Linked DNA regions of Coturnix japonica. The protein of the gene in region 2 interacts with the protein of the main gene of each other region in a pairwise test. Links are inferred from orthologs where the notes say so. Each region holds a gene or a part of one and is shown on either strand. Other genes may lie near its edges.

Region 1 (3,813 bases), on a different chromosome or scaffold from region 2:
GGGGTGGCTCTGCTGGGGCTGCTGAATGGTTGTGGGGCTGATGGTGATGTGTGTGTGTGGGGGGGGGGGTCTGTGCCAGCAGAGCTGCCTCTACCCAGAGCTGACAAGCAGGTGACAACGAGATTAGCAACATCAGCAACATCAGCACCTCTGAGACAGATTTAACTGCACTAAGCCCCACAAGGACACTGGGCAAAGTGAACCTTGTGTTTGGTGCTGCTGAGGCTGCCCAAGCTGTGGGGAAGGCAGAGCTGTGCAGCTGCTGTGCATGGTGCTGCAGGAGGTTGCTGAGGCTGCCTGGACCTGGGGCTGTGTCCAAAGTGGTTGCCCACAGCTCCATCATGGGTGGATCCAGGCAGGGGGAGAGGGAGAGGGAGAGGGAGAGGGAGAGGGAGAGGGAGAGGGGAGAGAAGTGCTTTTGTTTCCAAAACACTGCAGAACCAGGCTGCCTTCTCCCAGCACTTTGCTATTTATGGCCTCACAGCCCGTTTCCAAGGAGATAACTGTGAGGGGCTGCACTGCTGCAGAGACAGTGGAGGGAGGAAGAAGCTGCCTGAGCTGTGTGGTGCAGGAGTGCTTTGCTGGGGACATTCACCCACAGGACCCCCCCACCCATACCCAGCACCCACCCCCATGGTGCAGCCCTAGCTATTCTAGAGCCAAACACAGAGCAAAGCAAAGTGACATTGGATGGGAGCACAGCTCAGCTTACAGCTGGGTCTGCCCCTGCTCTGCCTCTTCTTTGGGGTGCAGGCCCAGGGGCAGTGAGGGGGTGACCCCAAACATGGGAACCAAGGAGAAAAGATGAGCAAAAGACAACACCCAGCTGGGTGATTCCCATGCAGGGCCATCCCATGCTGTGCCTGGCAGACAAACCCCCCACAGCCATCACCAGTGGCAGCAGAAGTGACAGCCCCTTGGACAGCATCTGCCTGAACGCCTCCGAGAAGGCGGCCGTGCTCACACTCATCCGGGAGGAGGTAACAGTGTGGGCTGCCCTGTCCTGCTCTGCAATGGAGGGATGGGGGTGGGCGTGATGGTGGAGCACAGCCAAGCTCTCCTTCTGCTGCTCCCCAGATAATCACAAAGGAGATCGAAGCCAATGAGTGGAAGAAGAAGTACGAGGAGAGTCGTCAGGAGGTCCTGGAGATGAGGTGGGACCCCTGCCCGGTGGGATGCTGCGCTCATGTTCCCCCTGCTTGTCTGTGGGGCCGTAATGGGATGACACAGTTCTGCTTCACTGGGGTGGGACACATCGCGAGGCATGTCTGCTTTGTGCCTGCGCTGTGTTGAGCCTGCAGTTTGTTTGTTGTGGGGATGAAATCCCATTAGCTGCGGATGGAGGGGATCTGGGAGCAGCAGCAGGGGGTGCCCAGGCTGTTGCAGCACTGGGGCCCAGGGCAGCGTGCTGGAGCAGAGCTGTGGGTGTGTGTCTGCGGGAACTGCTGCTTCCTACTCACTTTTGTTCTTTTATTTCTTTTTCTTTTGCAGGAAAATTGTGGCTGAGTATGAAAAGACCATTGCCCAGATGATAGGTGAGGTCCCAGTGCTGCGGGGCAGGGCAATGCTGTCTGTGCTCAGTCACCACATCCCTGTTTGTTCCCCTCACAGAGGATGAGCAGAGGACAAATATGACCTCCCAAAAGAACCTGCAACAGCTCACCATGGAGAAGGACCAGGCGCTGGCAGACCTCAACTCTGTGGAGAGGTCCCTATCGGATCTGTTCAGGAGATATGAAAACCTGAAGGGTGTCCTGGAAGGTTTTAAGAAGGTCCTGATCTCGGTGTCCTCCCCCATCCCTGCAGCTATGGGGGCTGTGCATTGCCCCCACCCTGTCCCATGCAGATCTGTCATCAGAGAAGCACGCTGTGCTTGGTCCCAGTGCAGATGGATATACTTTGTTTTCCAGAATGAAGAAGCCCTGAAGAAGTGTGCTCAGGACTATTTAAACCGTGTCAAGCAAGAGGAGCAGCGATACCAGGCCCTGAAGGTCCACGCGGAGGAGAAGTTGGACAAGTAAGAGCTGTGAGGTGCAGGAGGATGGGCAGCACATGCCTGGCCCTGAGTAATGAGCATTCACCTCCATGCAGCAGTAGCAAAACCACCTCTGATGCATTGCAGCGTGCAGGAGCTGGGCTCTGCTGGAACATCATGACCCAACATCCTTACCACAGAACTCCCACCCCATAACCCCATCTCTCCCCATGCAGAGCCAACGAGGAGATCGCCCAGGTGCGCACCAAGGCCAAAGCAGAGAGCGCAGCTCTGCATGCAGGGCTGAGAAAGGAGCAGATGAAGGTGGAGTCCCTGGAGAGAGCCCTGCAGCAGAAGGTAACGTCCACTGCCAGCACACTGGGGATGCTCTGTGCTTCCACTTTGGTGCTGGAGCTGTTCTCTCTGTTTTGGGGTCAGAAAGTGCTTTTGAGGATCAAGGGAGTGGGGTCATGAGGGGATGAGGAGGGATGTACCACAGGGTCCTGCTTCCTTTCCAGAACCAGGAGATCGAGGAGCTGACCAAGATCTGCGACGAGCTGATCGCGAAGCTGGGCAGGGCAGACTGAGCTCACCACCCCCAGCTCCACACCCGGCTGCTTTTCTCCTACCTTCGAGCACTTTGCCTTATTATTACCCCAGAGCGACCCTGCAGAAAGCACACGTGTGGCTGCTGCACCCCAGGTGTGAAGGTGGCCATCCCCATGTGCTGTCACTGTCCTCACGTGCTGCATGGCACAGCACCAAGGGCTGTTGTTTGGAGCACCAGGGAAGGAGCTCTGCTTGGAGCTCCTTTCCCCACTCAGCACGGCGAGGCACAGAGCAGCAGTCACTCTCTGGATCTTGCACTGCTCTCTCCAGTCCCCCTGCAGCACTGCGTAATGAGGGAAGCAAACAAAGCTGCCCTTTACAGGGAAAGGCAGATCCAGGCAGCATTTCCATGCAGGCTGCCTGCTGCTTTTGGAGGTGGTTACTCCTTAGTGAGCCCAGCAGAAGGGCTGAGGCTCCTTCCCTCACCACACACAGGCAGCCCTGAGGTGTCAGATAAGGGAAATAAATGCTGTTGGACTGTTTCCTACCTAGCCCAGCTAAAACCTTAGCAAACCTTTTTGCTGCTACCTTTTTTTGTAAAAGAAATTGAGCTGTTTTTCCTTCTATTTTCTAACCCCTGCGTTCCGCATGCAGTGCAGACATCTGTTAAAGCAGAGCCATACACCGGAGATATATTTTATTAGTTATCTATTAGAAAGGATTTATTATATAGACACAAAGCTCGGGCACACGCAGGGTCCCCACCCGGCTCCCACTGACTCAGCAAAGGGGCTGATGGCTGATGCTGTGCACCTGCAGTGTTGTGTTGAACGTTCACCTCTTTGCACAGCTGACAGAATAGAAAACCCCCTTTTTTCCCCCTCTTTCCTTTGCTGGGTTGTCACACTGCCAACCACAACCTGCTGCAGCACAGCTCCCCTCACCAGCACCGTGGTGGCTGCAGCCTGGCACCACTCTCTTCCCTTCTTCTCCTATGTATCGAGCTCCACAGCAGCCCTCCCAGCCCCAGCGTGGCTGCAGGGCACTGGTGGCAGCCAGGAGCGATGCCAGCACAGCGAGATCAAATCTTTGTGATGCTTCCTGCAGCACGGAGCTGCGTGGAAGGCAGAGCTGTACCCGCAGCAGTGATACGATGTGGCAGCATCCTCACACTGCTCTGCTCCTGCTGTCCACATGCTGCTGCCTCCACCACCCGCGTGCTGTTGCATTTCTGTGCCTCTCAGCGTGCACGTCCAGTCTGGGCAAAGATTCCTAAGGAATGATTTATT
Region 2 (3,813 bases):
TTGCCATTCAGGCTCATTCTCATCAGATTTCTGCAACGTCTTCTCTGAGCATGCATGGCTTTGTGGTACATGGCTTTGTGGTATTGCCTTCAGCTGGACTGTAGTCTCTTCTCTTGAATTTCTCCTGTGTCCTCCCTTCATCTGTGAAAGAAATGATGTGTTCAGTGCTTTGTCCCAGGCTAGTTTTAGTCCTGCTTTTTAGCTAGTTTTGAAAAACTAGGGATTCCATTCTCAGTTGTGAATCCCTTTGATTTCAAAGAACCTCTTACTTTACTGCGGGTTATGACAGAGAAAGAAGGGCAAAACAGAAATAACATGGAATATCTCCCCATATTACTCCCCAGTCTGCCAGGCTGGCCTGCTTTGTTCTGACACCTTATTAGTAGAGTATGGCAGTACTGGGCAGAGCTGGGCCAAGAGGAAAACAGCTGACTGAGACTTAAAGATAATGTCTGTGTCGGAAACAAAGTCAGCAACATCCTAGGTTGCAGCTTACCTGTGAGAAGCCACTCTTCCTCATCTGACAGTCTGCCAGCATCTGGTGAACATCCCGGGCTTCCTTCTGGGCAGAGGAAAAGAGTGGTGAGAAATAAATGCAGAATTTGGAACTTTACTCTTTTTTGGAATGTGTCCTTGACAAAAATCTCCATGACTGCAGGTGGAGATTGTGGGTACCACATAGTAGTGCTGGGCTGCCATAGCCTGGAATGCTCTTTGTATGGAAGTGCCGTGCTTTGTAGGCTGCTCTCTTCTCACAGCACTCCCTGGCAAGCCCAGTAAGGCAGGCAGGAACATTCTGCATTTTCAGAGCTGATGGCAAGAAGCAGCTACCCTTTCCTTTTCACTCTCCCCAAAGGTAGAGCACAAGAATCTTGGGAGTATTTTGCCCTTGGAGATGTGCACCAGTAAAGCATTTCCAGAGTGAATCTCACTTGTGCTTTCAACTTCAGGTACACCTCAGTCTAATCTCCTGCATATGCAAGTTGCTGGACTCTAGGAGTTCGAGGCAGAAGGAGTAATGTGACTTCTATGTTAACAATTTTTTCCAGTTTTCTCTGATAAAAAAATAGTTAGTTTTTTTTTCATCACATTAAATCAAATATACCACCGGGAAAAGAGTCAGGGGTGTCAGGAATTGTCCTAAGTCTGCCTAGATTAGGTAAGTGATACTCACAAGTGGTCCCAGGGAGCAGAAAGAAGGGAAGCTTGCCTTCTTTCCATCTCCATAAATCAAGCCCTAGCAGAACCTGCCATCTAGTGCTTCAGCTGCTTTTTCTCTTTTGTTACTGTGGCTGACTGCTGCAAACCACTGCCTGTCAGACTGACCCAACTAGCTGCATGCCTCATGTTTTCTCTTTCCTAAAACCAGTCTGGCTATGCTGGCAGCTGAGACCTGTCTTTTAGGAAAAGGTGAGGCTTGTCTTTGAGCAAACATCCACCCACCACCCTATTTGACCCAAACTGCCTCCCACAGCACAGTGAGTAATAAGTTAGCTGTACTACACTGCTTTCCAAGGACATGCTTTGCTTTCTCTATCACCTGTTGGGCTAATATTTAATATGACCCTGGATTTCCAATTTCCTTTTCCTAAACAGAGAACTAGGAACTTAAAACTTGAGTGAAGCAGCTTGTTTTCTTAGATCAAACCCCATGGCCCCTGCAGCGAAGCATAGTGCTCAGATCCCTCAGGTACAGAAAAGGCAATTTAACAAGGGAGGGTGAGAGAAAGCTAGCTCCCCTTCTCTCCACCTTTACAAAATGCAACATTTGGGTCTGCAGCCTGTATCCTCCCCTTGACTAGCATAAACATCAGAAACCTGGGAAAATAACTTATTTACAATACAGTGACGGAAAACAGAAAGTAAAATATGCAAAACTCCTCTGTTTTCATCTGCAAAAGTTTGTAAGGGTTTTATATCTTTGGTAGTGGGATTTTTAGTTGGCTGATTCAGTGATGGATTTTGGGTTTCGTTTTTGTTGCTGTTAATATTGACTAATAGCTTTCTTTAAAAAAGGGAGGGTGGGAAAAAAAAGGATCTCCCACATAGTTGCTCAACTTCAGCAAACAGTGCTGAGAAAAACCTTGTGTGATTCAGAACCATCTGATAAAGGAAACAGCCACTCAGCCACCAAATTCCCTTCAGCATATTGGCAGCAGTGGGAGAGGCATTTAGCCCAAACTCAGCCTTTAGTTACAGTGCTTTTATGCTGAAATATGGCATGGTTGTGTAACAGAGCAATATACACTCATAGAAGTTAGCAGCAAAAGGCAGAACGAAAACTCACAGGATGAGATTGGACTTCTCCCATTGAACTGGCAGGATTTTCCAGTTCAACTTTGATTGCACTGGTAGCTAATTTCTTTGTTGTTTTGTTTGTTGTTTTTTGTTTGTTTTTTTTTTAATCTCAGTTCTCTGTAAATGGCTTTTTGTAGCTAGTTAAACAGGACAAATGTATTTATTAATGGAGAAAAATATTTCTGTAATGAAACACCTCAGTAAAGATGGAGATGCTGTCATTGTAGTTACTGCATTTGGAGTTGTCCTGTGCTGTCAAGTTTATCAACTATCATCTTTTCTAGGAGACAAAGAAAAAAAGAAATAGACAACAAAAGAGGGGACTTGAGGATACGTATTTTAGAGAATAGTGGCAGAATTACATTCATCTCATCTTCTGTGAAAGTAGATGAGTTATGTGAGGGCCATGGCTTTCCTCTTTTGCCTCTGAAAAGCAGTCCAATCTGCCACAGAGAAGGAAGGAAAGTGATGTGATTCTCACTATATCCATGGAGAATGGGAAGCAAAGGAATTGAGAGTAACTTGTCTAGTGGTGCAGAACAGATCTGTCCCAGCTAACAATAGCACTTGGACCTTCAGGTCCTAAGGAAGGATGTAGCAGTATGGCTTGTCCTGAAAGTACAGATGAAAAACCTTAATAGTCAGCTGGCTTCTCTCTCAGATTTCTATTTATAGCAACCAGGATTTGCTGCACTTCCTAGATCTCAAAGCAAATGGTTATTAGTATGGAAAAAAAGGGGAAAGCTACCTTTTTGAGCTCCTGGCTTTTCCCAATTGTACCAGCAGTGTTTTTTCTCGCCTCTTCTTTCTGTTCCTCTACAGTGTTTTTATTGTTTCCCTGAACTTCTGTCTCACCCAGGACTTCTGGCTGTGGTTGCAGAGACTGTGTTACAGCACAGTCCGTCTCTCTGAAACACAAGGGACAGTTCTTAGGAATACCAGGGAGAGACTCTCTGCTCTCTAAACATCTGACAGGAAATTACACATGAGCAAGTAGTGCTGTGATGGAGCAGTGTGTGCCTGCATGCAGCTGTCATATCTCCAGATCAGGTAGATGGAACAATTAAATTAGTTATTCATTGTGAGTAACTGTTGGCCTGCTGTAGGCAGGCAAGCACCTGTTGGTGAATCAGTGCAATCCAAACACGTGGCCTGCTGCAGGAACAGTTACCATTTCCTGTGATATGTTGAGGTTACTGCACAGCAGGGATATCCTGGGAGACTGAGGAGCTGGGGCAGGCCCCAAGCTGGAGCTGATCTCTGCTGGTATTTTGTGTACCTGCAGAAAACCTGTGCCTTTGGTCTGCAAGTGAAGTGTGACAGTGATGACCGCACCCAGCCCAGCCCCGAAGTTTAAATCAAAGGGAAGAGGTTTTACAAAGAGATGAGTGTTACTTCCCTGTGGCAATGCTGGATTTGTCCTCTTGCTTCCTCATAAGGAGGAAAACTTACAGGGCAGAGGAGAGAGTCCCTGGAGAAGAGTCCAGCCTCCACTTTCTAGGAATGTCTTTTCCT

The links.
Region 1: the proteins of SH2D4A (region 2) and TACC1 interact in binary tests that used the Homo sapiens proteins (3 or more experiments, as listed by UniProt). The two-hybrid records come from large-scale screens. The link is inferred for Coturnix japonica from reciprocal best matches to the Homo sapiens genes SH2D4A and TACC1.

Annotation. Positions count from the first base shown.
Region 1 is NC_029537.1:3,769,780-3,773,592, forward strand, and holds part of TACC1 (transforming acidic coiled-coil-containing protein 1), read left to right. Parts: intron 1-845; coding exon 846-980; intron 981-1,077; coding exon 1,078-1,154; intron 1,155-1,491; coding exon 1,492-1,535; intron 1,536-1,611; coding exon 1,612-1,772; intron 1,773-1,910; coding exon 1,911-2,017; intron 2,018-2,211; coding exon 2,212-2,332; intron 2,333-2,493; coding exon 2,494-2,562; 3' UTR 2,563-3,813. UniProt on the Homo sapiens protein: Involved in transcription regulation induced by nuclear receptors, including in T3 thyroid hormone and all-trans retinoic acid pathways. Might promote the nuclear localization of the receptors.
Region 2 is NC_029519.1:30,062,988-30,066,800, reverse strand, and holds part of SH2D4A (SH2 domain-containing protein 4A), read right to left. Parts: intron 3,207-3,813; coding exon 3,047-3,206; intron 563-3,046; coding exon 497-562; intron 142-496; coding exon 1-141. UniProt on the Homo sapiens protein: Inhibits estrogen-induced cell proliferation by competing with PLCG for binding to ESR1, blocking the effect of estrogen on PLCG and repressing estrogen-induced proliferation. May play a role in T-cell development and function.